Elephas maximus indicus: one gene and its partners. The protein of the gene in region 1 interacts with the protein of each later gene in a pairwise test. Links are inferred from orthologs where the notes say so. Each region holds a gene or a part of one and is shown on either strand. Other genes may lie near its edges.

What was found.
Region 2: the proteins of TNIK (region 1) and GOLGA4 interact in a two-hybrid assay, tested with the Homo sapiens proteins (2 studies listed by BioGRID and IntAct). The link is inferred for Elephas maximus indicus from reciprocal best matches to the Homo sapiens genes TNIK and GOLGA4.
Region 3: the proteins of TNIK (region 1) and CNKSR2 interact in a two-hybrid assay, tested with the Homo sapiens proteins (2 studies listed by BioGRID and IntAct). The link is inferred for Elephas maximus indicus from reciprocal best matches to the Homo sapiens genes TNIK and CNKSR2.
Region 4: the proteins of TNIK (region 1) and DPYSL2 interact in a two-hybrid assay, tested with the Homo sapiens proteins (2 studies listed by BioGRID and IntAct). The link is inferred for Elephas maximus indicus from reciprocal best matches to the Homo sapiens genes TNIK and DPYSL2.

The regions. Positions count from the first base shown.
Region 1 is NC_064841.1:29,025,821-29,033,668, reverse strand, and holds the start of TNIK (TRAF2 and NCK-interacting protein kinase), read right to left. Parts: upstream 3,001-7,848; 5' UTR 2,975-3,000; coding exon 2,918-2,974; intron 1-2,917. UniProt on the Homo sapiens protein: Serine/threonine kinase that acts as an essential activator of the Wnt signaling pathway. Recruited to promoters of Wnt target genes and required to activate their expression. May act by phosphorylating TCF4/TCF7L2.
Region 2 is NC_064845.1:2,971,602-2,978,764, forward strand, and holds the start of GOLGA4 (golgin subfamily A member 4), read right to left. Parts: upstream 3,016-7,163; 5' UTR 2,714-3,015; coding exon 2,642-2,713; intron 1-2,641. UniProt on the Homo sapiens protein: Involved in vesicular trafficking at the Golgi apparatus level. May play a role in delivery of transport vesicles containing GPI-linked proteins from the trans-Golgi network through its interaction with MACF1. Involved in endosome-to-Golgi trafficking.
Region 3 is NC_064846.1:158,100,355-158,107,632, forward strand, and holds the start of CNKSR2 (connector enhancer of kinase suppressor of ras 2), read right to left. Parts: upstream 3,005-7,278; 5' UTR 2,439-3,004; coding exon 2,375-2,438; intron 1-2,374.
Region 4 is NC_064840.1:47,009,360-47,017,320, forward strand, and holds the start of DPYSL2 (dihydropyrimidinase-related protein 2), read right to left. Parts: upstream 3,007-7,961; 5' UTR 2,992-3,006; coding exon 2,638-2,991; intron 1-2,637. Other genes in the region: PNMA2 (paraneoplastic antigen Ma2), read left to right, coding at 6,861-7,955.

The DNA of each region.
Region 1 (7,848 bases):
CTAAATGAAAACAGTGGCTGAACTCTCCACAATTCCCTTCTAGCTCTAAATCTATGAAACCATCCCCCCACCCTCCCAGACTTAAGGCTTACCTTTGTGAGCTCTAGAAATCGGAACTAAATAAACCGGATTTGAATTTTCTATTTTCTAACCAAAGAAGATTCTGCTTTCATCTCACTTTTAAAAACCATCCAAATCTTGCATAATTTAAATGATCAGTGCTGTCATCGGTTGCTCTGGTGTAAATTATGCATTGTTACTATTTGGGGAAAATTTAGACTGGGTCCAGTCTAGGATCACTGGCTGAGAACAATAAGCCCCCAAAATGAGAAGGGACTAAAGGCCTCTCCAGACAGGATCTGGTTTTAATGCACTGAGCCCAGGGCTTATAAAAAGGGCCTTGACTGTGTACATTGAAGAGTCACTGAAACAGCATGGGACCCAAAGACTGCAGCTAATTCTCCTAGAAGCCACTGACCTTGGCTGCATTTCAGGGGTCAGGCATTCCTCAGGAGGTTCTCAGCACCAAAGCTCTTCTGAGGGTTTGGGAACGAATGAGACTTCTCAACTAGATGAGCCCACCTCTCCTAATTTGGGAAGGCAGATATGATCTGCTCTCTGATTTGTGGAGATTACCTATGTGGCCTTTGAACCCACTCTCGGCTGGCACACCCCACCTACCACAAAACAGTCCCTGACCCCAGCCCTCCAGAATGCAACTGTTTCCACACCTACATGCAAGTCCTCCAGCCAGCAGTGCTCCAGTCTCTAGGGCCAGCTGTTGCCCTCCCTGCCCACACCTCGGGGCAGGCAGAAAAACAGGCAGACCACTAAGCCGGCAGCCCAGGCCACAAAGAGCAATTGCAGTGAGCCGTAGAACGGTATCTTTTCGAAATACAGATCTCACAAGCCCTGGTATCCTAATGTGAAGTGTCTCCAGGCCAGCCCAGCGAGCCCTCGTGGTTCTCACAAGCCTGCAGGCTCTCTGCTCTCTATCTCAGAAAACCTTCCCCAGAAAAAGCCCACTGGTGACAGGTCAAAGCCTAACTTAAAAATCACAACACAGTATTTCATTAGAGGAGTGATGTAGATGTCTCGATTCTGGCTTAGGGAAATCACCACAAGCCTTGCCCATTGTCTGAACCCCTCTCCTTTTACAATTTCCCCCACCTTGAGGTCTGGCCCATACATCTACCTGCTTAACCCACCGGCAGCTACTCCTAGTACAGCAAGTAGGACAAAAGAACACACACAGTCCATCAAACAGGAGGACAAGGACTTGGTCAAAGCACCCACCCTATTACTAACTACCCCCACCCCCAGCTGCCCGGAGGCAGCGGGTTCTGAACATGGCATTTCAGCCCCAGGGAAATCACTTACTGTAATAACGCACGAATGAGCTTTTGCTACCCAACTATCAGTACAGGCAGTTTCAAACGGCCCCCCTGTTCCTTCACAACCCCCGGACTGCCTTCCTGAAACCTCATCTCTTGAACTAAAGTGGAGGGGGGGAGGGGGGAGCCGAGTTGGAACAAAAAGGAGGGAAAAAGGAGGGAGGCTAAGGAAAAAGTACAGCTTTGATAACAGTAGTCGCTCTTAAAATACCCTGGAGAAAAGAGGCAATGTCAGAAGTACTAAAAAGACTCAGGTAAATGGTCCCAAGATTTAGCTTCGATCTAACAATGTGTTCCTCAGTAGGGCGTGTGAACTTCAATCTTGCGTGTCTCGGTGTTGAGAGCCACCATCAATTTAGCCTCACCCATCCACCATGTATCAAATATATCTAGTCACTGTTATTTTTCAAGGGGGAAGGGTTCAAGAGAAGAAGTCGTCCTTAAATTGGTGCCCAATCTTTTCCCCCAGACCCCGCTGCTGCCGCCACCCCCATCCCTCACCCTCTTCCCTGCAGGCAGCATCTAATTAAAATGGCAAGAAAGCTCTGCCCCCTTCCCTTGAGTGTGTCAGGATTGGGGGTTGGGGGTAGAGAGGCGTCGAGGCTGCACTGGGATTCCTGATATTCTGCTCACAAAACAACAGTAAAATGGATTCTATACCAGTGATGTCTTAGTCAATACAATGAAACTGCGTCGGAGGCAACTCACGTGAAGGTAAATTCAAACCAGTGGGGCTGGGGGGAGGGAGGTGCTCTACAAAGAACTGGCCACAGACAGAAGGAAAACACACACACACTCCGGGAGTTCCGGTGTGACTGGAAAAAAGCGGAAAACACATCCCTTTCACCTGCTTAAGTTTAGCCATAAAGCTGAAATGTCACAGCCCCAAAGTCAGAAACCACAGGCTGGGCTGAGTTAAAACCACAAATAAAGGTGAGTGGCAGACGGGCGTTTAAGGGTGCGCCCAGAGAGGGCCGGGGCGCGGGAGGCAGGAAAGGGGAGGCTGAGGGCCGTTGCCATCCACAAGGCAAGCACAGCAGTAACTGCCCCCGTGGAGCGGCAGGTTCGGCTTCGTGGGTACAGTCAGGCTCACAATGTCATCTTGCAGGTAACTGGAAAACGTGAGGCCAGTGCCTTTATTCACGCTGCTTTTTTTTTTTTTTGCAGAAAGGGGCAGCCGGGTGTCGCGCCTTGGCACGAGGCGACCGCCCGGGGTGTCCACACACACACCGACGAGTCTTTCATTTTAAGGCTCTTACACCCGTCTACGATAAACTGGCGTAAGCTCCACGCGCTCTCGGGGGAGCCTCGGTCACAGCCAGAGGGGGACACGTACCGCACAGACCCTGCCCTGGGGGCTCAGCAAGAGCACCTGAGCAAACCCCGAAGAGAAACGAGAATCCACGTTCCCTCCCGTCGCATTCTCTCGCCTCTGCCCACAGCGCGAGCCCCGGTCCACGCGCCGAGCCCGTTCACCCTGACCTAACCCACCGGGAAGAAATCAGAAAAGGTGTTCTGCTCACCCTCAGAGCCGAGAGATCGATTTCATCCAGGCTGCGAGCCGGAGAGTCGCTCGCCATGTCTACTTGTTCGCCGGGAAATGGACCAAAACCCCTCCGAAGCTTCTGCCCTGGAGATTCCACCTTGGTCTATCTCACTCGCGTCTTCATGCGGGTGCAGCGCCAGAGGCCCGGGCCCAGCCTCCTCCGCCCACCCCGGCCCCACAGCGCCGAATCCCGACCCTCGGCGCGGCCGTCCGCCGGGTCCGGGAGCTCGACCTGCGCGGATCTCCAATCCCCAGCCGCGGTGCGTGTGGGCTGCGCGCCCTGATCGGCTAAGGGCGCTGGGGCTGCGTGGGTGTATTTAAATGGGACATGCTTCTTTGCTTGTGCGTGGATGGCGGCTGCATTGGCTGTTATAATGAGACACATCAACTCCTCCACTCAGCTGGGGGAGTGGGGGTGGAGAGCCACACAGAACTGTCTATCACCGCTTCCTGGGAGGAGTAAAGGGGGAGAGAGAAAAAAAAAGAGGTGGAGGAGGCGTGGTCTCCGGCGGAGGAGAGGCCGCGCTTCCTGACCGGGTCCCTCTGCACCAGCGTGCATGGGGGAGGGGCGCGCACCCTTTCCGCCCCGGCTATTGCGGGCCAAACCGGCTGGACCCGAGTGCCGTTCCGGGACGCGGACATGCCTATCGTACAAACAAGGAGGCTTTATTTGTGTGTGTCCAATGCGTGCGCTGCAGCAAATGGCCCGTTCAATCGCATCGTGGGGTTTCTTGGAGGGACTCAAATGATCTGACATTGAAAAAGCCAGAGAAAAAAAGAGCGACGTCCTCCCTCCCCCATTAGTTATTTGTGGGGCTGGAGTAACGCGGACTGGTGCAACCGGTGCATATAAGGACTTGTGTGCTTGGAAGGGGATCCGCCCCCAGCCGCCGAGCGAGTGGGGGAGAAGCGCGCACGCCTAGCTTGCCCAGCGCCTGGCTTCGGCAGTTCACAGGGGCCGTGGGGTCGGGTCTGCCTGCGGCCACTGGGACCGCAGATGGCCGTTCCCGGGTGCGGGTCACTGGCCGCTTCGGGTTGCAAAGGTTTGCCAGAAGCGGGAAAACTGGAAGATCGGAGCTCCCTTTTGGCATCGCCACACCCAGGACCGGCCCCTGCCGCAATTCCCCACGGAAACGACCGAATTGAAACGAGCTTTTTCTCTGGGTGCAACATCTTGAATGCTTCAGGTAACTGTCCAAAGCCAACTCTGGTTTAGGCAGCACACGCTGCCTCAGGATTTCACATTGCCGTTTCAGGCAGCGTTTCTGCGGCTGACCTACCGGGATTGATGGAGAAAGTTGGCTAGCGGATAAAATGTGCCATACAAGATGGAAGCGTGGGAGCGATTTCACTTCACCCGCTTTCTCCTTTAGAGGCTCAATATTTACAGTAGTAAACATGACATTCTGTAATCAAGAGTGTGAAGTCACTTCCCCAGGTCCCCATTGCAATCCTTCCTCTCCGGCCTTGGCCATACAAAATTAGACGTATCCGAAGAAAACGCTAAAACTGAACTTTTTTTCAAATACAGCAGTAGCTTTGAAAGTATTCTCAGGACCTCTGCTAGGAGAATAATTTACTTCTGGCCAAGGACTCTGAGGGTTTGTTTTGTTTTCTTGTTTTTGTTTTTTATATGTAGTGTGAATATCAGCTTCAGAATAAGGCTTTCCAATGAATGGATGGAAGCCAGTGCAGTTAGTACATCACAACTGCAGACAGAGGGCTTTTAAACCGCATTCGGTGTGCACCGTACGGTTTTTGTTGGTATTACTGTATTCATATGAGTTATAAATCATGCACCATGGAACTTGAAAATTTCTCCAACATCTCTATGGCCACAACTGCTTGGGAGTTTTTGCCTGTAAACGTTACACGTATATCAAATGTTTAAACGCATTATATTCAAACACTTGATTTTTACCTCTCATTTTATAATGAAATCATCCAGCTTTTTGTAGTAGCTGGCAGTAAGCCACCAAGTAATGTTGAAATGAGCTAAAGAACTATCATTTCCCATCATTGTTCTTATTTTTCCCTTCTATTTTTTTTTTAACCTTCTTCTAGATGACAGGTTAATGTATTAGTGTTGAAAGAAAATAATTAAAGGTCAGATCTATAAATAACAATTTTTAAAGCTCCAAACAACAAAAAAAAATGGGTTAAACATTTGTTTTCATGGAGAGTCTTGATTTTATAGTCCAGATTTTATTTGAGACATCACAAACAGATCTTTTGGCTTTAGTAAGCTGTTCAGGCTGTAGGGTGCCCTGTCCCTGGCACTAAATTCTACCCTTGGATTTGTAGTTAGATTTGGAAATTTAGTGATGAGTAGTTACAGAAGAGGATTGCTTCCTGGAAGCCTGAGGGGATGGGCGCGAGAGCCAAGTGGAAGCAGTGGTGCTGGGCTACAGGAAATACCATGAAAGGGAGGATTACGATAGCAAAGACACCTCCAGCTGGTAAGAGAAGATAAAAACACACACACACCCATTGCAGTCAAGTCCATTTGGACAGGGTAGAACTCTCCATATAGGACAGAGTAGAACTGCTGCATAAGATTTCCAAGGCTGAAATCGTTAAGGAAGCAAACTGCCACATCTTTCTTCTGCCAAGCAGCTTGTGGGTTCCACCTTTCGACTTTTTGGTTCACAGCTGAGCGCTTAACCACTGTGCCACCAGGGTTCCTAAAGATAAACTCCGTAAGTTATGGTTTCTTGACTTACAGGACATTGAAACCAGTTGCTGTCGAGTTGATTCCAATTCATAGCGACCCTATAGGACAGACCTGAACTGCCCCATAGGGTTCACAAGGCTGTAATCTTTACGGAAGCAGACTGCCACATCTTCTTCCTGCAGAGCGACTAGTGGTTTTGAACTGCCCACCTTTCAGTTAGCAGCCAAGCACTTAACCATTGCGTCACTGATGAAGAAAAAAAAAAAAAAAAAACTAGTGCCATCGATGATGAAGAGGAGGGGGAAATTCCGAGCTGTTTGTACTGCTGGAGGTGAAGGAAGAATGGTGACTTAAGGCTGGAGAGGCCAGCAGCGGTCAGATCAGGTACTGCTTTGTATGCTCCCTGGAAGAGCTCGAACTTTACCCTGTAGGTCAAGTGTGTAACAAATTTCAACCATTCCAGTGCTACTTTCATAATTTTTTGCCAGGTCTGTGTGCTGCCTTACTGTTGTTATTAACATTTTTTTTTAATTGATACATTTCTTTTTTCTTACATTTAATCTAAAAGGAAGCGTAAATTGCTACTGTAAATGGAAAGCTTGCAAAAAACAAAAAAGAATACCATTAAAATAAAAATAATGGAAAATAAAGCAGTATTATTATTAAATTCTAGCTAGCTGGTTTTTTTTTTAGTCATTGCCTGCCCCAGGCTTTTAGCCTGAGGGTCTGCCTTTACTTTGTTAAGAGAGAGATTAGCAAATGCCAGAAAAGGCATTCAAGACTTGAACCAAAGTGAGATTTTCCTCCTTAGTTTAATCTTAAAGACTGAGATAGTTGATACCATTATGTATGGTTTTAAAGTCTGAAGACCAATATGTTTATGTCTATATAAATATGTAGTAAACTATAAAAAGCATGGACACAGACAGGAAGGATACAGGTCAACTAAAAGATAGTGAGAAGGGAGAAAGGAATGGAAGAAAGAGAAGACTTCAACAATGACATTTAGTTTATTTATAAAAAAAGAAAGACCAAGCAAACATGGCAAAATGTTTGGAATTGTTAAATCTGGATTATTAGTAATGGGTATTCATTATAGTGTTCTCTGTATTGTTCTGTTTATTTGAAATATTTTTATATTTTTAAAATTATAAACAAGAAAGAGGAGCTCAAAGGGGATTATGTTCTCCTTATTAGGGTAAATGTTATTCAATATTGAATCTATGTACCACATTTTGGAAATCAGAAACACTACTGTGGAGTTTCCAAAAGCAAACCCCCTGTATCTTCTATCACCACAAATCCCTAGATATTCTTTAAAGAAGAAAAAAATCTTTAAAATTCATCAAGGTTCTAGAAGACATCCGTCTGGAGCAAGGGAGAATAAGGAAAAAAACCAAGACACAAGGGAAAGACTAGTCCAAAGGACTAATGGACCACAACCACCAGGGCCTCCACCAGACTGAGTCCACCACAACTAGATGGTGCCCGGCTACCACCGCCAACTACTCTGAGAGGGATCACAATAGAGGGTCCCAGAGAGAGCTGGAGAAAAATGCAGAACAAAATTCTAACTCAGAAAAAGACCAGACTTAACGGTCTGATAGAGACTGGAGAAACTCCAAGAGTATGGCCCCTGGACACCCTTTTAACTCAGTACTGAAATCACTCCTGGTATTCACCCTTCAGCCAAAGACAGGCCCATAAAGCAAAGCGAGACTAAAAAGGCATACCAATCCAGGGGCAAGGACGAGAAGGCAGGTGGGTACAGGAAAGCTGATAATGGGAACCCAAGGTAGAGAAGGGGAGAGTGTTGGCACATCGTAGGGTTGGCAAGCAATATCACAAAACAATGTGTGTATTAATTGTTTAATGAGAAACTAATTTGCTCTGTAAACCTTCATTTAAAACACAATTTTTTAAAAGGTGACCAAAAAAAAAGTTCTAGAAGACAAGCAGCATCAGTGGTCCAGTATTTCAGAGAACTTCTTAGATTATACAGATTATATAAAGCAGGCAGAGTTGGATTGCCTGTGGAGCCACAAACCTAAACTGTGTGGGGTTGGACTACGGTGACAGTTGGGGCAGATTCAAGCTCAGAGGCAATGAATATAAGGAAAAAGGCGCATTCATCACGGTAACTAAGAACTGCATTAGTTCATTATCTTATTCATTCAAAAAAATATATGGATCACTTTGTGCAAGGTGCAGTTTCTAAGTCCTGGAGATGATGC
Region 2 (7,163 bases), on another chromosome or scaffold:
AACAGGATCAGACCAATCCTCTGGAGTGGGTAAAACGGGACTGCCTCTCAAACCCTATTAAATCCAGAGGGCATGGTGCCTCCAACAAAGAATAACTTATCCTCAAAAATGATGCCCGAGTCAGAAGAAGAGAATATCATACACATTCGAGATCCTTTGCTTAGGAAAGGATGTATGTAATCTGTTGCAAAAAAAAGCATTTTTTGTTGTTGTTGTTTCGTATTGTTTTTGTTTTTTAGTTAGTGCTTGAAAGAAATCCTTAACTCTCTGAAAACAATTATCCGGAACTTTTCTTTCCTGAGGGGCTGGGAATAGCTGAGGACCTAGGACCAGAACAGAACCAAGTTTCTACCAGTAGGTGATTGACAACTTATTTTTTACTTCTTGGTAAATACACATATATTCAAGAATGTGAACATATCAAAGAGGATTTTTAACCTTTGGACACAAAGTGTTTTATTTGATACCGATGACCCTCTCACTAAAGATAAGCCAATGCAACAGTACTAAACTGAAGAAACAGGGAGTTCTACCTTGGCCTGTGACTACCTTTACTGTTATTACTACTAAGCACCTTTCTTCCCACTGCAAAAAAGCAATTCATTTTCATGAAAAAAAACTAACATTACAGGTCAGGAACAGAACACTCATGGCTCACGAGCACCGTAAGGGCATCTCCTTCCTGAATACTTTCACTAAGGATGTATGTAAACTCACATATAGACACGTTTTCCCACAAAGCTGTGATCACGTGTTACATGTGGCTTTTTACGTGCGGCTACTAACACAAACATCTTTCTGTGTTACCAAGTTTCCTGTGATTTCTAACAATGGGTGAATGGCATTGGGCAAGCTACTTCAATTCTCTGGGCCTTGTTTTCCCATGGATAAAAGAGGAAGGACGGGATTATCTACCCGATAGGTTTGTTCGAGAACTGCTGGACATTTTTAGCAAGCTTCTACCTAACATTGAAATGAAAACCTACATAGCTGTGTTTTAATACATCCTAAATTACTTTCTTTGAATAAATTTCTAGAAGTGACATCGTGGATCAGTGATATCGTGCACGTTTACAAATGTTAACTGCCTTACATTCACTAACCTGTCCATTTCCCTCTCCATCTCTGCCTCATTTTTCTTAAGCGTCCTGTAAAGTTAAAAAGTCTACAGTAAATCACATAAAATGAAAATCTTTACTATTTAAGTTTTGATCTCTATTTGCACTTTACTTGGAAGAATGAGCAGACCTTCGGTGCCACGTTGCAATGTCTTTCGCAAGCACTGTTCTAGTCCACACAAACTAAATTTTAAGAGAACAATTTTCCAACTCGTCTCAGAATAAACTCAGCGCAACAGCTGCTTCAACACAAAATAAATGTTATGTCAAAAAATTATTAAAAATGCCACCGATTAAGTCAAAACTCATGCTTTATTGTAACAGCAGGCAAAGACCAAAAACCAAGCCCACAGCTGTGAAGTCCAGTCCGACCCACAGCGACCCTACAGGACAAAGCAGAACTGCCCCCTAGGGTTTCCAAGGCTGTCATCTTCGCGGAAGCAGACTGTCACGTCTTTCTCCGCTGGTGGATTGGAACCACCGACCTTTTAGTTAGCAGCCGAGCGCTTGGGCCAATGCGCCACCAGGACTCCTAGACAAAGACCAAAACCAAACACCAAACTCGCTACTGTGGAGTCGATTCCGACTCCTAGCGACCAGAAACCCTAAAACTGAAAGAAAGGTTTGCGCAATCGGTGAAGGAGGCCTTCGAGGAACTTCGGCAGGAGCCCCGCCGACGGCGCCCCGGCCGACAGCACCCTCCGAGATCACGTGCTGACGCGTCAGAACGCGTAGGCTGACAACTTCGGGGGCTGCTTCCCGAAGCCGCCAAGCTGCCCCCTGCCCCGTAAACGGTCGCTTCCTGCAGCCTCGGGCCTGGAGCACCCGCAGACGGCAGCAAAGCGCGCAGGGCCGCAGGCCGGCGGGGAAGCTGGAGGCGGAAGGCGGAGCACCGCGCTCAGGGCGCGCCGGGCTCGACCCAGCTCCGCGCAGCGACGCCTGGTGCCCGGCTCGGCCGCTGGACGCCCGCCACCGCCGCCTCCCCACGTCCCCGCTCCTGCCGGGGGCCTGGGACCGAGGGCGCGACCCCGGTCCTCCCTGCGGGGCCGGGCTTGGGGGCGAGGGCGGCCGGGCTTGGGGGCGGGGGCGAGGGCGCCCGCGCGGTGGGTCACTTCGGGGCGGGGATGGCAGAGGGGCGCCGGCTCGGAGAGCAACCATTAGAAGGGACTCCCCTCCGCGCTCACCCACCAGCTGGGACCTCGGGTGGGTAGGGGTCGTCCAGGGAGCCGGGACCTGGCCTAGGGCATCAGGGAACCCCGACGGAGCTCAGCTGTCAGCTCGGGCCCGCCCGCCCCAGCCCCGGTCCCAGGCCCGGCCCCCTCGTTCCCGGACCGAGTGCCGCGAGGGCGGCGCCGGGCTCAGGGGTGAGGGGACCCGGGTCTCCGTGCGCGCCCTCCCGGCCCGGGGTTTGGGGAGGTCCTAGGATCAGGGTCAGGGATCAGGACGGAGCTGCCCTCCCTCTCACCCCCGAGCCAGGTCAAGGGGCGTCGGGCACCAGGGAAGGAGAGCGGCGGCCATCGTACCTGAGGCGGAGCCAGCGCCTGCTGCAGCTGCTGCTGCTCCTCGCTGATCTTCTGCTTCAGTTTCTTGAACATGGCGCAGCGCGGGGTCCCGAGCGTGAACGAGACCTGAGGGTGCGCGCCGGGGAGTCACCTCTCTACACCAGGGGCTGCGGGGGCCGGGCCTCGCCGCCTCCTCCCTGGGCTCGCAGGCAGGGCGGGACGCTCGTCCCACAGGTGTCGGCGTCGCCGCCGCCGCGTCTCTTCCTCCCGGGTGCCACCGGCCGGCCTCGGCCCCCCATCCAGCCCCGGCGGCGGCGGCGACAACGGCAGCAGGTGAACGGTGCGCCCAGGGCGCCTGCGCGGCCGACGTGGAGCTCGCGACGGGGCCCTACGGGGGGCCGTAGAGGACAAGGCTCCCGCACATGCGCGCTGACGGGACCCTGGGAGGGGGGGGCTGCACATGCGCGCTGACGGGGCCCTACGGGGGGCCGCAGGGGACAAGGCTCCCGCACATGCGCGCTGACGGGACCCTACGGCGGCCGCACATGCGCGCTGACGGGGCCCTACGGGGGGCCGCAGGGGACAAGGCGCCCGCACATGCGCGCTGGGGGGCGGCGCTGGCTGGAGGTTTCTCCGGGGACTAGCTGGGCTCCTGCTGGGATCCCTGGCCCGTCGCTTAGCTGCGCCTCGACGCTGCGAAGTCAGGCGGAGAGGGTGCCAGGCCCCCCAGCGGAGAACGGCGTCCAGGCTGGGAGAAGGGTGGAACTGCGGGGGCCTGAGGTGGCCCCTAAAGGATAATGTAGTTTTGTTCAGTACTTCTGATCCCTGTGAAGCGCCGTCGCTCCATGCCTGGTCCTGCGCCATCCTCACAGTGGTGGTCACTTTGAGCCCATTCTTGCAGCCCGCGTCAGTCCATCTCGTTGAGGGTCTCCCTCTTTTTTGCTGGCCCTCTTCCAAGCATGATGCCCTTCTCCAGGAGCTGGTCCCTCCTGATAACATGGCCAGAGTACATGAGACCAAGTCTCGCCATCCTCGCTTCTAAGGCGCATTCTGGCTGTACTTCTAGGACAGATCTGCTCGTTGTTTTGGCGATCTGTGGAATAGTCAACATTCTTCGCCAACACCGTAATTCAAAGGCATCATTCTTAGGTGTTCCTTATTCCTTGTCCAGCTTTCACAGGCCATGGCTTGGGTCAGGCGCACCTTAGTCCTCAAAGTGACATCTTTGCTTAAAACCACTGAGCTTTGGCTTAGCAGCCAAGCGCTAAACCGCTGTGCCACCAGGGCTCCTCATTTGTATTAGGATTCTATATATTTAGTGCCCAATATTCTGACTGCTCGGTGGCGGGGGAGGAAGGGGTTCTTCCCTTCCCTGGAGACTTTAGGGAAAGTGCCTTGAGATAGGCTCCCAAGGCCCAGATGTTGCACGCCAATAAAGTAAGACACGGATCTTCCTGTCACCTGCCTTTAGTTTTTCATTCACTGAAATTGTGTATTTTCATGTATTCACACAACAACCTTTGTTTCTAAATGCCAGTACCCTGGAGATGGTACACTTAGTAAAACAATATTCCTGCCCATAAAAGAAACGCATAGCCTCGTGGAAGACACGGGTTCCCAAAGAGTTCAAATTTACTCTTAACACCTGCTATCATTTTAAGACTTTCTAATGTTTGTGTGCTTAATTCATCCAACACCTTGAGCTTTTGTTCATAGGTGAACTCTCAAATCCACCTCAGCGACCTGCTTGTGCGTGCTACACCTTTGGCATCATCTGAAACTGCTTCACATTGCCTCAGGTATCAGAACCTGACAGCGTAGACTGTCTTCTCATTTTAACAGATTTTATTTACCAACATTCATATACACAAACTGTTGTTTAAGACTGCAGAGCCTAATCACTAAGCATGTCACAGCTGGAGCAGGGCTGTAAGCTAGCATCATAGGTCCTCTAACTTCAGGGAGGATAAGGAATCACCATCGGCCCCAGGCTGATTCCTTTGATTCCTGTGTGTTGGAGGTCAGACATATCTCCACCCTCCAGTCTTTTCACCAGTTCTGACACCAGCTGCCACTACCCTCCCCCCACCCTCTCTGCTTCTCTCCTGGGTTCCATAATTTGTTGCAGTGGCCGCACAGAACTCACAGATCATACTCACCATTATGTGGTGTATTAGAGAAGTAACAGGCTGCCATTCAAGAACAGGATTAACTTGGAAGTAACAGGAACAATGTAGGAGGGGACCAGGACTGTTTCCAAGACAGCTCGTGGTTCCTTGCTGGCCTGGCCTCCTCTCAGCCTCTGCCTGCTTTTGCAAGTGTTACAGTTCTTTAGCTCAGCCGACAAGTGCCCTGAGGCACCCCACCACAGCCATCTCACACTGGTCTCCAGTTTCCAGCCATCTCACTGCAGTGGCTCCTGCTGCTGCCACGCCATCTCTTGCCAGTGCAAGACGGCCATCTCCAGTGTCAAGCTCTCTATCTTTATGATAGTGAGGTTCCTCTCAGTCCCTGTGGGATTAGCCCTTTTATAAGCCTACTGCCCCTACCAAGACCACAAACTGACAAATCCCCTCTGTAGTCCATAGTCAGCTAATTTGCTTAGCAATTGACCAATCTCCACAAGGGTTTTATACATCTTATTTGCATAGTACATTGTCCAATCTCTTTGCAAGATTGTGGCCTAGCGAATAATCTTGGCAGAACTACAAACCCAGGACCAGAAAGGCCATATATAAAGAGAAGCCTATTGCACTGCAGGGGCCTGATGGGGACACTGCCCTGACGTCTGGATTAAGTCCTCCCGTACAATCAACACCCATGTAATTACCAAGAGAGTGTTTCCTTTTTTAGGAGCCTAATGTTTTAACAAGGTGCAATGCTTAAGCCCTTGACTAGTAAAAAAAAAAAAAAAAAAAAGGTCAGTGGGTGAAACCCACCAGCCACTCTGCAAGAGAAAAGACTTGGTGATCTGCTTCTAGGTTTCAGCCTAGGAAACCCGACAAGGCAGTTCTACTGTGTCATATAGGGTCACTATGAGTAGGATTGGCTCAACGGCACACAGCAACAATCTCTCAACAGACTATAAAGTCCCATAGGCTTCTTTCAGACTTCAGATGCCCAATAGGCATTCTCACCCCAGCATTCACAATTATACATCACAGGTTGACAGTTTTATATTTATACATATATTTATCATTGTTGTTAGTTGCCATCAAGTCAATTCCGACTCATGGTGACCCCATGTGTGCAGAGTAGAACTGCTCCATAGGGTTTTCAAGGCTATGACCTTTCAGAAGCAAATCACCTGGCCTGGGCCTGTCTTCTGTGGTGCCTCTGGGTGGGTTCAAACCCCTAACCTTGTGACCAGCAGTCAAGCGCTTAACCCTTGGCACCACCCAGGGATCCTTTATACAAAACACTTCTTTAGAACAAATTCAGCTCAAGGCTAGGTTGTAACCTGAGTCTTAACTCTCTGCCCTTCATATCTCATCTCCTCTTACAGGCTTTCTGTGACCACTCCCCCCCCCCCCACACACACATACACACACGAGTGGAGTCCACCATGCTCGTCTGTGTACAGCCTCGTTCTTACATGCCGTCAATGCATGTATCACCTTCTGTGTTTATCTTTTTATTAATACAAAAGTAATATATATACTTATTGTAACAAAGTCAAACAAAAGTGTAATCTTATCCCCCAAATAACTTCTATTAATAATTCAGTTTATATTTTGATTTTAGTCTTTCATTTATGAAAATAGGCACATAAATTTATATACTTGTATACAAATATATTTATGTTTTATTAAAAATGCGTTGTATATAGTCCATATCTTGCTTTTCTCAATTTACGTCAGGATTGTCCGTTCTAGTCAGTACGTGGGAACTGAGATCCCAGCAGTAGGTTCCACGGCAGACTCCGCACTGCGCACTTGTCTCCTCAAAGTCTGTCTTGACAGTTGCGAGTATGTCTCTATTGTTCCCAGTGTCCAGAAGACCTTAAAAAGCAGGGAGATAAAAAAAGAGATACTGTATACAGAACAACAACAACAAAAATGACTGCATAGAATGGCATCCTTAAAATGTTGAAACAAACAAAAAAATGCCAACAAACTTGTACTACAAGAAATGCTAAAGTTATTGAGGCTGAAAAGAAATGATACCAGAGATAATGCAGATAATACATTTCTCTAAAATCCAAATGACTATTTAAGGCAAAAATAATAACCCCACATTGTTGGGTTTGTAACAAACAAAGGTAGCACAAAGGCCAAGAAGTGGGTGTGGCAGTAAAGTGTTCTAAAGACTTCCATCGTGGGGGAAGTGGTATAATAACTAATACAAGTGAGACTGTGGTAAGTTACTATGCATATTGTAATGCCTAGAACAACCACTTAAATATGATAACACAAAATATATAGCTAGAAAGCCAATACCGAACCTAGTGCCATCGAGTAGATTCCGACTCATAGCGACCCTATAGGACAGAGCAGAACCGCCCCGTAGAGTTTCCAAGGAGCGCCTGGCAGATTCAAACTGC
Region 3 (7,278 bases), on another chromosome or scaffold:
ATGTTACACTAGCTGCAGTAGACCTAAACTGTTGAGAGAGGGGAAAGTGCAGAATGTAATTGGGAGGGTAGGAGGAGGAGAAGATGGAGTATGCAGCACTCACTGCCAGTGAGCATCATGGAAATTGGTAAGACGTAGTTAGTCTCTGAAGGTAATCTGACTTCCGTGAGGCCAAGACAGCTTTTCTTTGAGTATTTCAGCAACAGACTCCAACTAAGCTTTTAGATAAATTCAAAGAAAGGGTTTTGTTATTGTTTGAACTGTGTCCCTCCAAAATACGTGTCGTAAATCCTAAAGTCTACGCCAGTGGTCATAATCCCATTTGGGAATGGGTTGTCTTTGTTATGTTAATGATTAGTGTAGGGTGTGTTTTAAATCACTCTCTTTTGATATGTAAAAGAGATTAAACAAGCCAGCGAAAGAAGTAGAGAAGAGAGATGCCAAGCCACATGAAGATACACCCAGGAGGAGAAGCTCAAAGAGACAAGAACCTTCCTCCAGAGACAACAAAGAGAGAAAGCCTTCCCCTAGAGTCAACACCCTGAATTCTGACTTCTGGCGTCCTAAACTGTGAGAGGATAAATTTCTCTTTGTCAAAGCCATCCACTTGTGTTATTTCTGTTATAGCAGCACTAGACAACTAAGACAGGTTTTAATTAAACATCTCACTTCCTGCATATGCCTTGGCTCTTTCTTCCATGACTGATAAGCAAGACAGATGTTTGCCTGTATCAGAGAATTGGGGGGGGGGCCTGGGGGAGAATTGGTGGGAATCTAGGAAAGCAGTATTTCAATAGCAAATGTGGAAAAAGAGGAAACAGAAAAGATGAGCCACTGCAGGACTTTGTCTTAGTCATCTTTATAACCCCCATGGCACCTTAGCACAATGCACCACACGCAGGGGGGCAGTCAATAAATAATGAATTTGCTTCAATTTAATTCACTCACATTTGTACTGTGCAACGGGTTTGCAGTTACGAAGCACTTTCCACATATTTAGGAAAGAAAAACAAAGTGAACGAGGAGGGGCAAGTATGGGAATAGAAGAAAAGCAAAATAGATAATGGAAAATCCAAAAGAATAAGCAAGAAGGCTGAAAAAATTGGGGGAAAAGGCAGAAAAAAATAGTTTCTCCGTTTCACTTACAATTCCTTCCAATCATCACTTTTCATTCTAAAGTACCTGGGGGTTTAGAAAGTCTGATCGCTCAGCCAGCCCTAAGAAGGGCATCCCTCATCTTCCCAAGGGGCATTTTCATAAATACCAAGCCTTCCTTCCCTGACTAACCTACCTAGAGTTGGTGCCCAAGACCCACCACCAGCAGAGCTCTAACATCTCCCAAGTGTGGCCAGGGAACCTTTAGTCCATCCTATCCATCCCCTCTGGATATTCCCAAAAACCTTAGGAGAGAGTTGGGCCTGGGAATGAAAGGAGAAGGGAGGGGGCAGTGGTCGCGTGTGGCGGGGGGGCGGGAGTTCCTCTACAAGCCCCTTAACTCAGACAACAGAGGGAGATAGTGAGGCAGAAAAGCCCAAGGACTAGAGAAAAAGCTCACGTTTGCGACAAGGAGGGCGTCTCTAACTATGGTTATTAGAAATTGCCAGGGGATAAGTGAATAAGATGGAAGAAATGAAGGGGTACGGGGATGCGCATCCCCTTGCACCCAGAGTCGAGAGCCTAATAAAGAGTCGTGGGGTCCGAAGTCTCTTCGCCCCGAAGTCGAGGTGGCAAGGACGGGGGAATGCGCAGGAGGAGCCCAGCCATCAGCGCGGACGCCGTCCCAGGGGAGGCATGTTACCTCTCCCCAAAGCAGCGCCTTTCCCTAGCCTTCGCAGAGAGGCCAGGGAGAGAGAGGGCGATTCCCGGGTCCTGTCGGGGGCGGCAGCCTCCTGACCCCATTATTCGAGCTTAAAAGTTGCGGGGAGAGTTGGCGCTGGAGCAGGCACCTGGGAGGGGCGGCCGCGGAAGGGGCGTCAGGTTTCCCGGGAACAAAGGGGTCGGGGAAGCGGGGCTTCGGAAAGCAAGTCCCGGGGGCTCCTCTCTGAAGAGGGAGACCAGGGTCGCCACATCCTCCCGGCCCGGGAGCGCAGGGGAGAGCGGGGAAGACGTGCGGGATTTCGCCGTCCGGCTTCTTGCCTCCAACTGGGTCGCGCCGGGCGCCCTCGCGCATTCTCCCCGCCCCTCCGAGCCCCTCCAGCTGGGGAACAACTGGCTGGAGACAAAAGGGGATCAGGGGACCAGAGGCCCCGCCGCCCCGGGGCACCCGCGCCGCCTCGCAGGGGCCGCAATCGGCCGGCGGCAGCCCCGATGGCGAGGCTCGGTGCGGCGGGACCCTGCGCCCAGGGCCTCCTCCCGTCCCCGCAGCGGGTATTACCTTTCATCCAGTCCACCACTTGACTCGGAGACCATTTGCTCACCGGTTCCATGATCAGAGCCATGGGGGCGGGATCGGTTCCTTGAGGGGCGCGGGGCTCGGACAGAAAACGAACTCAGCAGCCGAGCCGCCCTCAGGTGGGGTCCCTTGTTGGCCGCTGCCTCGCCGGGCGGACGGGCGGCGCGGAGAAGGTGGCTTTTGTGTGTCTGGGCGCGCGGCTGTAACGCCTCTCAGTATATGTCGGGGAGCCGCGGTACGAACCGCGGCGAGGAGGGAAGCGTGCCGGGTTCGCAGCTCCGCGCCGGGGCGGCTCGGTGCCCGAGGAGGCGGCTAAGGCTGCTGCTGCCTCCGCGGCTGCGCTCGGGTCTCCGTCTCTCCAGGAGTTCAGTTCATGGCTTGCGCTGCCGAGGGTCGCGGCGCTGAGGGAAGGAGCCGCCGCCGCCGCCGCCGCCCGCCCGCAGCCAACTTGCCCGCTCGCCTCGCGCGCGGGAGTGAAGCCCCTGGCACGACACGCTGCCCGGCGGAAATGACGAGGGGCCTCCTGCCACCCAAAATATCTCTCTGCAGCCCTCGGGTGCAGGGCGCGCGCGCCACGAGCCCCCCGCCCGCTCGCAGCCACGCGGTCCCGCCCCCGGGGCTGGCGGCAGGCGCGCGAAGCGCGTGCGCGTGCGCGTGGGGACTGCACGAGCGCGCGGCGCGCGGCCCGAGCCCGGGGTCTGTCAGTCAGTCAGGTGCGGGCGGCTGGCAGTCCCGCGTTCCCGCCCCGAGGGCCGCCGGGGGCACGAAGGCGTGCAAGGAGCGCGTGCGCGGCGGCGGCGGCGGCGGCGGCGGCGGCACCGGGCCGGAGCTCCGGGTCCGTCCGTCCGTCCGTCTATCAGGTGCCGGCGGCGGGAACGTGGCTCTGGGGGCCTCCGAGGGGACGCGGCGACGGCGGCGGGACGGACCGTCCACCAGTACAATGCTGGCTGTGCTGAGGCGGCTGAGGAGGTACCGGAGGCCCCGCCGGCGAGGGGAGGGGACACGCCGAGCCCGGGGGTGACTTCGGTCCCCGGGGTTTCCTCGCTCTCGCCCTCGCCGCTGCTGAGTGGGCTCGCGAGGTGGTTCCGAGTCCCGCGCACGCCGGCCGAGACCGAGGCGTGGAATGCCGCGGACGGTCACGGGGACCTGCCAGCCAGAAATGCAGCGATGACGAGGCAGCAGGTCCTGCTGTCGGGGCTCCCTCGGCGATGAACAGGGCCCGGGAAGCCGGGCGTTGATTCTGTAACCCGCACGTTGAGGTGGTGGCGGTTGTCCCTGAGACAGGCTCTGCCCCACGTGCCTTTTTAAAGGGCTCTGTTCTTGGTTCTCCGCCAACTCCTCCAACATCGGGAGCTCCCAGTCCTGCTTTAAAAAAAAAAAAAAAAAAAAAAAAAGAGGATGCTATTTGTTGGCAGACATTCTTTTGTAAGAACTAAGGGCAACAGTGGGATTTAAAATGAGTGACAAATTGTCAACAATATGGTTCTTCAAAACTCCTTTTCTTCAGAAAGCTTACCCAGGATACTTTGTGACCGTAGTAAAATACAGTTTGCCTGATGAGGCTTCACTTTAAACTACAAATAATGGGTACTGGGTTAGAGAGTATACAGATACAAACGCTCCCACCCCTAGAGATATTTTCTTTGTATCACTCTTAAATAGCTTCGTTGAGGAAAAGAGAAACTTTTTATTTCTATAGCCATTTCCATAGTGTCAATAGGTTTTTGCAGTGCCTGCAGTAACCCATTTTCTCTAGTTGAATTTTTTGAGATGCAGAACTGCCACTTTCCTCCAGATGATGTGTCCACACACACACACACACACACACACACACACACGAGCTGAAACAGCAGTAGTTAAAATATTTTAATGTTTTCATGGTAGTGATACTAAACAAGTAAAATTTAAAATGCCCTGTTTTTGGGCTTGTTTAGTGTTGTAATAATCCAAACTAAAAACTAGATGGGAAATTTGGGGAAGAAATTTGGAATTCTATCTAAACAAGTCTGTACTCAAGAGGATACAAGTATAGCACCTTCTTTTCATAATCCAGATCGTGGTTTTGATTTACAATTTTTTCTTGGCTACCCAGGTGTGAAAGATATTGTATTGTGGAGTGCTTACAGTCCAACTGAGTCTAAGAACAGTGCATCAATATTTCTAGAAAAGACCATTTCCAGCATCTGTAATTTATGGAATAACTTTATATTAAAAATGTAATGTGGATACATTCTGAGTCGTAAGGGGTTACGGTCATAGAAAGATGTTAAAAGTAATTTTATCAAAATAATGCTACTAATCATAACAATTAATATTTATTGATCAGTGTGCTAAGTACTTTACATACATTTCATGCTCAAAACAGCTCTATCATTAGGGACATTTTACAGATTAAAAAAACCTTGGCTGTCACATTCATTTCCTATCCCCGGAGCCTATTACACCTAGTTCAATAAATGTTGAATAATTTAATGAATAAGGCCTAAAGAGGGTAAGTAATTTGTCTGAGGTCATGATGCATGATTTTAATACCAAGTTAAGGTGATTCCAGAATAAGAGCTTTTAAAACTAATAAAAAGGCTTGTATCAGTGTCACAAGATGAACAGTATCAGTGAATGGAAGGTCCACTGAATGTTAACTAAGTATGTCTCATCAAAACATTTTTAACAACAAAGGTGCCTGAGAGTCACGATGAGTGTTTCTGACCAGTACCTACGCAGCAACTGTGAAAATGCAGGAAGTGACCAAATTTGGCTAAAAGATCAAACTGCACATCGAGACTGGGCTTGCGTGACAAGCAACCACACTATACATCATATTGAAAGCAAGTTCAAAGTGAGACTGTTTGCATGATGAATGGAATATCAATCAAAACAAATGCCAAAAGACCAGGATGAAGTAAAAATAAAAGGCATATTTCATGAAAAGACCAGTCCCAAAGAAGATGGAAAAAAGATTCCAGGGAAAGAGAATTTTGAGGAAGACCATAGGTCAGAATTAAGTTGTACATGTGCTGCAGTCCTCTTGTTTATGTCACAGTAAGAATTTATTTTGTCTAATTGCCTGAGATAACTGTAAACACTAATTCTAAGAACTAAGAATGACTGAGTTCAAAATGGGGGTGTAGAGTTATACTATCGAATAGATTTCATCAAGGCCTTAAGTATTTGTCCTAAATCCTCCTCCCTGAAGTTTCCCCTACAAAGTAACATACCTCTTGATTTTGATGCATTATTTCACTTAATTTGTTCAGAATATAACTAGCTTTTCACTTCTATTTTTCTTGATTTGGGGGGAAATAAAAATAGGATTAAATCATCATTGCCTTCACTCTTTTATTCTTAACTCCAAATGACTCAGCTAAATCTTCCCTGCATTTTCTTTCCGCAACTTTTCAAATAAACTAGCTTTTACATTCTTTTGCTATTGTTCAAAATATTAATGCCTTGCTCTATTTTTATAAGTACAGTATATGATTATGTAGAAACTTCACATTGTCTTCCTTTAATTCAGAATTCAAGGGACTGAGAATACAGTCTCAAAGTTTACGGGAAAATGTATGTTGTCATAAAATACATCAAAACATGATGCGCAAAATGGCATGATGTCACACATACTTCACTCTAGATACAAGAGCCAAACTGATTCTTTGGAAGCAGGCAGTGTAGAAATATTAAATTAATTGGGGACATAAAACTTGTGAGTTGTTTTTAGCCATATCAATATAAATCACTTTATCAGAATGGCATTATGCTGAGTGAAAGAAGCCAATCACAAAAGGACAAATATCGTATGAGACCACTATTATAAAAACCCAAGAAAAAGTTTACACACAGGAAAAAAACAATGTTTGATGGTTACAATGGAGCAGAGGGGTGGGGAGGGAAACACCACTAACTAAAAAAAAAAAAAATTTTTTTTTTTTTAGACAAATTAACTTTGGTAAAGGGAAAGATAACACACGACGTAGGGGAAGGCAACACAACTTGACCAAAGCAAAGTCATAGAAGCTTCCTAGACACATCTCAACACCTTGAGGGACCAAGTTACTGGAGCGGAGGGCTGGGGACCACGGTATTGGGGGACATCTAGGTCAATTAGCATAACATTGTTCATGAAGGAAATGTTCTACATCTTACTTTGGTGAGTGGTGTCTAGGGTCTTAAAAGCTTGCAAGCAGCTATCTAAGCTACAGTCTATTGGCCCCATCACGTTTGGAGCAAAGGAGAATGAAGAAAGTCAAAGATAAGGAAAATATTAGTCAAAGGACTAATGAACAACATAAACCACAGCTGCCGCCTGCCTGAGCCCAGTAGAACCAGCTGGTGCCTGGCTACCACCACCAACCACTTGACAGGGATCACAATAGGGCATCCCAGACAGAACAGAAGAAAGATGTAGAACGAAATTCAAATTCACAAAAAAAGACCAGATTTACTGGCCTGATGGAGACTGGAGGAATCCTGGAGACTGTGTTCCCCAGACACCCTGCTAACTCAGAACTGAATCCACTCCCAAAGTCCACCTTTCAGGAAAGATTAGATAAGCTTATAAAATAATAACACACATGAGGAACATGCTTCTTAGTTCAACCAAGTATACAAGACCAAATGGGCAACACCTGTCCAAAAGCAAAGACGAGCAGGCGGGAAGGGACAGGAAAACTGGAAGAATGGACACACGGAGGACCCAGAGTAGAAAGGGAAAGGGGGAGAGAGCTGACACATTGCAGGGATTGCAACCAATGTCACAAAACAATTTGCGAATAAATTTTGAATGAAAAACTAATTTGCACTGTAAACTTTCAGTAAAAACACAACAAAATTAAAGATGAATAAAAATAACTTTAAATGATTTCTTCATCCAATTTATGGCACTAGTTATT
Region 4 (7,961 bases), on another chromosome or scaffold:
CTGTGCCAGGCCTTCCTACAGAAATGCACTAAAATGCTGGGAGTCACCCTACTCATTAGTTGAAAACTAAGTGATGACTAGTCAATTTGGTCAAAATGGTGGACCCAGCTGTGCTTTCAGAAATCACTATATTATTGTGTGCTGTCAAATCGGTTCCAACCCCTAGTAACCCTATAGGACAGAGTAGAACTGCCCCATAGGGTTTGCTAAGCTGAAACCTTTACAGGAGCAGATTGCCAGGTCTTTTCTCCCATGGAGCAGCTAGTGGGTTCCAACTGCCGACCTTTCAGTTAACAGCTGAATGCTTAACCATTGTGCCACCAGGGCTCCTTGAAATCACCAGTTATATCCATGTACATACATGCACACCAAATGCCTTTTTCCTCTTGTACAGACACGAAATATTGAACACTGTAAGCACCAATCCAGGTAAATGCTCCTGATCTGAATGAAAATAATCCCACAGGAGCAGTCTTTATGCTATAAGTCTAGACTGAAGATGAAAACTCTGGGAGGGCTACAGGTAGGCCAAGACAGAATCTCCCTACTACAAATATTCAGGCAACTGGAGCGGGATTTGATTTGAGGTTTGCTGAGGCTAAAAATGCCCTGGTTTTGGTTGGATGTTATCACTTCAAATCTCTCCCTCCATGTACCATAGGTATACAATTTAGAATTTCTATTAAATTCAGCCAGTATTCAAACAAGTAGCTCTTGTGATCAAACATCTAAGCTTCTAAATGGACAGGAGAAAGAGATGTGTTATTTAACTCATTGCAACTTTGCCTTTCAGACTTGAGTTTTAATTTGCTGTTTTTTTTATGATGGGGTAGCCACTCTTAACACCCCCCAAAAGCCATTTTATAAATGATCTCTTCCTTATTCTCCATAATATACTTCTGCTCCCTCTAGGATATTAGAATTGCCAGGACAACTTGCTGTACATGAGGTTACTCACATAACGATAACGCTATATAAGCTTGGCTCTCACCCAATGCATTCATCTAGGAAAGTATTTCACTTTCAGCTTTTAGTCTAGGTTACACAATTAGAAACTTTTGCTTCAATTGTCTTGTCACTTGCAACAAAGAGAATTTTCTGGATTTGGGTTCTTCTGGTTGACTCATGATAAAATATGTGTATGAGATACTTTCCTATATGAAAACATCAGAGAACAGAGCTGGGGGGAGTGTATAAATTATGAAAATGATCGCAAATGCTTTAACTTCGTTAGACTTGTTCCTATAAAAGTCAAAAGCTGCAAAACTCAATGCCACATCAGGAAACAGGAGCACCATTCTAGGGCCATTACCACCTACTCTATGTTGTTCTCTAAAATGCTTACACTGTAAATGCTTGTTGAACCCCACAATGAACAGGAACAGGCCACTCCCAACCACTCTGGAAGCCCCGTGAGGAAAAGAAACTGCCTTTAAGTTTTTATTGCTAACCTTCCTGCCCCAAAATCAAGGCACACAATAGGTATTCAATAATCATTAATTAACGTCTCATCTTCACAGAAAGCTAAACCTAACGGGTGCAGGAGAAACAGCAAACAAGGGATGAAACATTTTGCACTGTAGAGTATCTGCTGAGAAATTGAGGCTGTGAGGAAAAAATGTGCGAGTATGAAGGTCACCCAGTTAAAGAAAAAGCTGGGGTGTGAAAAAGCTACTGTACTTAAAATGTGCACTGTTCATATTTGTCAGATAATGGCCAACATTTTCTAAAATCAAGGTTTACCAAATTGGACTTCGTTTGACTCATTTACAGTACAAAAGGGCTAATCTTCTTTGACATGCTATTCAAAATGTGAGGGTTTCTTTCTTCCTCCTTTTTTTACCCTTTGAACATAATCCACTTAGTTCCCATTCCCAGAGCACCTCCCAAATAGCGGCAGAGGGAGAGCTCTGGGAAGCCCTTGTTGAGGCACTTAGCGGAACTTTGTTCTCCACATGGGCTATTGAGAAGCGTCTCGGTTTCCTCGGGTGACTCCACATTCTCCCTCACTCTTCTCACGCTGCGACCAGGAGTTAAGGGTGGTGAGATTCTCCTAGGCGAGCCGAAGAGGCGCTGACCATGGTGCTGGCCTCCGATCTCGGTACCCGAGAGCGACAGGCGCCCAAGAAGGTGCAGCCAGAGAGGGCGCAGAGCGGGCAGGGAGCGGTGGTCGGAGCCCCGACCCCTCCCGAACCCGAGGGAACTCACGGGCCTTCACGCGAACCCCTCCTCCGCACGCTCCGAGCTGCATCAAAAAAGGGTGGGGCACCCAGCCACAGCTGCAATCGGAAGCCGCCCGGGAGGATTTAAGAAGAATGAAACCGCGGCCCACTCCCCTCCGCGCAACCCCGGGCCGGGAATCAGCCAGTCCTTTACCCCCCCCCATCCCCCACCTCCCAGATCCAGAGAGGTGCGGGCAGCCTTTGTGGGCGTACAGCCGCCCACCGACGAGCCTCTCCGCACCCTGGGCGGAGAAGGGGCAGGTTGGGTGGGGTATGTGTGCATATGCAGAGAGGCAACATTAAAGAAGGAGCAGGAAAGAGGGTACCCTTGGATTCTCGGGTCTCCACGGAGCCGGGAGGGAGAGGCAACTCCCACACGCCCCGTCCTTCATCTCCTCCGCCCTCCCATACCAACCTGGTCGTTGATGTTCTGCAGGGCTTCCTTGCCCGAGGCCCGACGGATCTCCACCTTCCGGCTCGATTCAACAGATGGCTCCCCGCCGGCACGCCGGCCCTGCCGGGAGTACGGCGGCTGCGGGTCGGGGCCCAAGTGGGCGACGTCCCGCTGCTGAGCCACAACCTGCCCCGAGCCCCGGCCCACCGACAGCGAGTCGAAATCGATGGTTTTGTTCTCCGAGGACCCTTCCACCGGGCAGAACATGCCACAGAATTTCTGTCGGGGCTTGGGGCTGCCTGAGCCCAGCTTTTTAAAAAAGGCAGGGACCTCTTCGTCCTCTGCCTGCTTCCCGGATTGCTTCCTCTCAGCCATGGCGCGATGGCTTGGGGAAGGGTCCTCTTCCTCCGTCTGTCTGTCTGTCTGCCAGTCCCTAAGTCTCCCACTATCTGTGCAAAAATCCCCCGCTGCTGCCACGGATGTCTCTTTCTGCCTAAGGCAAGGTGTACAGAAAGGAAGGAGGGCTTTGGAGCGGGCTGTCTACCCCTCCCAGCCCCTCCCCCTGGCCCTGCTTTCTCCCCCTCCCTGCCCACGCCCCCAGCCTCCGCGCAAGCTCCGGCGAGCGGCGAAGTTAGGCCGGGGAGGGCGGCCGCTGCGGCTGCGGGAGCCGAGAGGCAGCCTGTTCCCTGCAGCTGCGCTAGGAGGGGGGGCGCGGGGCGGGGCGCCGAGGAGGGGAGGGGAGGGGAGGGGCGGGCCACGCCATCTCGAGCCCCACGCTCCGGAAGTGAAGCGGCCAGACCACCGGCTAACGGTTGCCGAGTGCGGGGCCTGATGACCGCTCTCCGGCGCTAGGGTAAGTAGAGGGGCTGGGTATGCGTAGGCGACGACCCGAAAACGCAGCCCCTGGTCCCCTGCCCTCCTCTCCCCCACCTGCCTGGCCCAGGCGCCTCTCCCTCTCACCGCATTGCGGAGATGGAACCGCGGGCTGGGGGCTCCGCGGGTTGGGATCCCTCCCCTTTCCCGGGGTATTTGCTGATGGATGGGGAAAAGGAGACAATCTGGCAGAAGTCAGGACAACTGGGGGGCGTCAGTGGGAATGGGGAATGGCAGGCGGTGCGGAGAATAGGGTGCCATCCGAGGCGCGGAAAACCAAAGCCCCAGTCACCCACGGGCCTTGGTGGGCTGCGTGGAGCAAGGATGAAGCGAGAACATTCTTGCTTGGTGTATCCCCAGGGGTGGGGGGTGCACAACGTGTTCAGAAGAAATGCAGAGGGGCGTAGCAAATGAGGAGGTATAAAGAGAGACTTAAGCCTGTGGTTTATGGGAGTTTTAGCAAGGAGTGCAGTCTGCGGATTCCAGTGCAGCCACTTGTAAAGACAGAGAGGGTGTAGACCCGCTACATTGCCTGAGGGCCCCATGTAATATTTCTGCGCCCCTGCGCCAAGAAGGGCCAAGGAGAGTGTCTTGATTTGATATCTTCCACCGCCCCTCTCCAAAGGGGAAAATACGTAGAATAAAGCCCACTCCCTAAATCTCCAGGCCTTCCTCACGCCCGAGCACCCCGCCTAGTCTCCCCCGCCCCTGTTGCGCACTGCGCCAGAGCAGGGCCAGACGCCACGTGCTTGTGGTGTTAGTGTGTGCGCATCCGCTGGGGACTAGGAGGCAGGGTGCGCACTGTGATAGAATGCAGAGAATTGCGTTTGGGGACAAGAGGGGCAACTGTGTGGAGGTGTGGTGTTTCTATGGGGGTGTTTCAGCCGTGACCACCGGGTCGGTAGGCATTCAGGTGTCATTTTGATTTGTGTCAGTAACGCCGTCGATGCTTACTCTTCTTGTCCTCTTCTTACCGTATATCAATCTCTGCTTCTGATCGAGTGCAGCCCCCCTCTTTTCCTACAGTGGCAAAATTTTGCGAAAATGATGCCCACCCATCCGAGGCTCAGAAGGGAGATCTGGCCTTGCTCTGTGACCAGGGCGGGTTTGGGCTAAGAGGCGATTTCCCGCAGCGTCACCACGCCAGGCATTACGGGCCAAGGATTCAGTACCGTTGTCAACCCTTGTCCCTGGAAGGATTAAATGTGGATCCCCCACCCCTATTGTCAGTGATGGTTTGGTGAATGGGGTTAAATTTGGAGGACGACTAGTCACAGTGTGAAGATGAGCCCATCATAGGTGGGAATGAACCTCAAAATGAGGAGGGGAGAATGAAGAAGAAGAATACACATATGGAGCAGGCGAGAGACCCCCATAGGCAGGTATTCCGGATTTAGCATCAGATAGACTTCTTTTGAACTAAATGCTTTCACGTGAATTACGTTATTACCTACTCACGGCAGCCCTGTTAGATAAATGGGACAGGTTTATTGTCACTATTTTCCAGGTTAGGAAACTGTGATTTAAAAGGATTGAGGGACCTTGGCCAGGGTGACCTATCTAGTTAACTGATGCAACAGTTCCACTGGGGGTCTTCCATCTGAAAATCTGTTCCTTTTCCAGTTTATCCTATTGGTTCTGTTGATGTGAGAAAATATAAGGTTTTCACTTTTTTTTTTTTCCATATCTAAGTACTTCCATCCATGGCCCTATTGGATACCAAGGGTGTTTCACTTGCTTTTTTTATTTGAAAGTCACATTGCAGGTAGGAGCTCACGTCCTTGGGGCTCCTGGGGATAGGAGTAAAATAGCATTTTGTTTTCCTGGCCTTTTGGCACTTATGGTGCCTTCAGCACCTCCTAGAAGGACTCAGGAGATGTACCTGCAACAGGAGCAGCTGCTGTTCTAGCTACAGGTTGGTATCATAGCATATGGACCTTCCTCAGATTGATGGAGATTTTCATGCCAAGGGGAGAATGATTGTAGCACCCTAACGTGTACTCCAGCAACGCTGACTGGGAGGCATCACTCTTCCGACTTTCTATTCCCAGTCTCCACAGGCTTTCCAGGACAAGCTCAGTAGATAGGCTTCTTTTTGCCTTGAATGACCCATTTAAATTCAAATGCTAGGAGAAAAAAGTGTTGTGATAGTAACCATTCATAACAAAAGAAATGCCAAAGACTAACCAGACGTAGCAAAAAAGAATTAGTCCATGATTCCAAGTTTAGTGTATTTGGCCCTAAGATTTTCTTTTTCTAAATGCTATCTATATATTAAATTATTTTTAAATGTTTGACCGATTCCTAACTGGGTATTTTTTAATCAAAGAAAGGAAGCAGTTCAATAGCTGTTTAGTAGAGCTAGCTAAATCGTGAAAGATTGTCATATTTTTAATAAGTGTAGAAACAGTCTTTATGACTGCATATTATTGAGCTATAAAACCACATGATTTTTATGTGTAGCAGGACATCTTGACTTGGCTGGAGCTAAGACTCAGAGACACCATCGTGTGGAGTTGGGTGACATCATCCTATACTAGAAGCTGAATAAGCTGTTCACTCTCAAGGAACATTCTGGAACATATAAACAGGTATTTAGCCACATCTTTTGATTTCATCCCTTATGTGGGAAAAATCTTGGATCTTGTCCAAAAGTGGGGTTTAGACATTGATTGACATGTCTGATGAGCATATGCTGGGGAAGCTGTATTTCAGAGGGTCCCCAAGAGAAAATAAAAAAGTCACTATAATCAAAGAAGAATTCTTGACAGAGTGGGCTAGACACAGGTACAATGTAAGACAAAACCCCTGGTCTACCCCCACTTCCTTCCCAAACTAGAATATGTATGCTTCCTGGTATGCTTCAGTGGTAAAACTGAAAATTGTTTCACTAGGAGTCCAAGTCACGCTACTGTGAGACTTCTCTTCAAGAGTTCAGGGTGCCAGAGTGGAAAGTATTTCACCGCTGACTAGAGAAAGTATCAGAGACCAGGAGACAGTGGTCAAAGCAGCTGTTCCAGGTGCCTCGGTGATTGAAGAAAGGTCAGGACCACCACGTGGCTGCCAGCATCGCTGAGAGAAACAGCACCAAGAGGACTGCAGAGCCACAGGTAGTGGCTCTGTTATAGGTGAGACACAACCTACCCGTCCTGGATCAGTTCTAGAGACATTACAGGAAGTGCTGAGTTGTTGCCGCTGGGCAAGTAAGGGTTAACAGTCCAGGAGATTTTGAGACCACTCTTAGAGTGACCTGACCTAGGATCCACCCCCTAGGTCATCCAGGATTTTTTTTTTTAATCTAAGGCAGTGCATATCTGCCCCACAAACTAACTGGTGCCCCTACGAGTTAGGGCAAGTGGATACTTGGAGCAATGGCACTGGCACTGCTAGAGGACTGGTGTGGGATAATGAGTGTGGATACTCAGAAATCACTGTTGGTTATGGGGATACCAGTGGAGTGTGATGAGCCTGAGATTCAGGAGGTTCTTCAGGAGAATTTGAAGTCCCTGGGCAGGTATAGACTGCTTGGCAAAATATTCAGGAAGCAGGATAATGCCAATGCTGTCTTGTTAGAGCTTATGGAGGATATTGATATCTCCGTGATCCCCAGTGAGGTGCAGGGAAGGGGCGGTGTCTGGAAAGTGGTCTTTAAGACCCCTAATCAGGACACTGAATTTCTTGAAAGACTGAACCTCTTCTTAGAAAAAGAGGAACAGACATTAGCGGGTATGTTCCGAGCCCTTGGGCATGAGGGAGTGTCCACAGCTGCTGTCCCCTCCATATCACCAGAGTTACTGGCCAATTTGGTGGGACAGGCAATAGCGCATGCACCTCAGCCTCTGCTACCCATGAGATACCGAAAACTGAGAATATTCTCAGGCAGTGCTGTTCCAGCCCCAGAGGAAGAGCCCTTTGAAATCTGGTTGGAACAGGCCACTGAGATAGTCAAAGAGTGGCCAGTAGCAGAGGCAGAAAAGAAAAGGTGGTTGATGGAAAGCCTGCGTGGCCCTGCTCTGGACCTCATGCATATAGTGCAGGCAGACAACCAGTCCATAAGCGTGGAAGAGTGTTTGGAGGCGTTTAAACAAGTGTTTGGAAGCCTGGAGAGCCGCAGGACCTCACAGGTTAGGTATCTGAAGACCTATCAGGAGGAGGGCGAGAAAGTCTCTGCCTATGTGTTACGGTTAGAAACCTTGCTTCGGAAAGCTGTTGAGAAGCGTGCCATTCCTAGAAATATTGCAGATCAGGTCCGTTTGGAACAAATCATGGCTGGGGCGAGCCTTAGTGAAATCCTTTGGTGCAGGCTTAGGGAGCTGAAGGATCAAGGACCGCCTCCCAGCTTCCTTGAGTTGATGAAGGTAATACGGGAAGAAGAAGAGGAAGAGGCCTCTTTTGAACATGAGAATCTTGAAGATCCAGATGAGGCGGAAACCTATGGCCAGTGGGTTAACCAGGCCAGTGCGTAAGGTCGA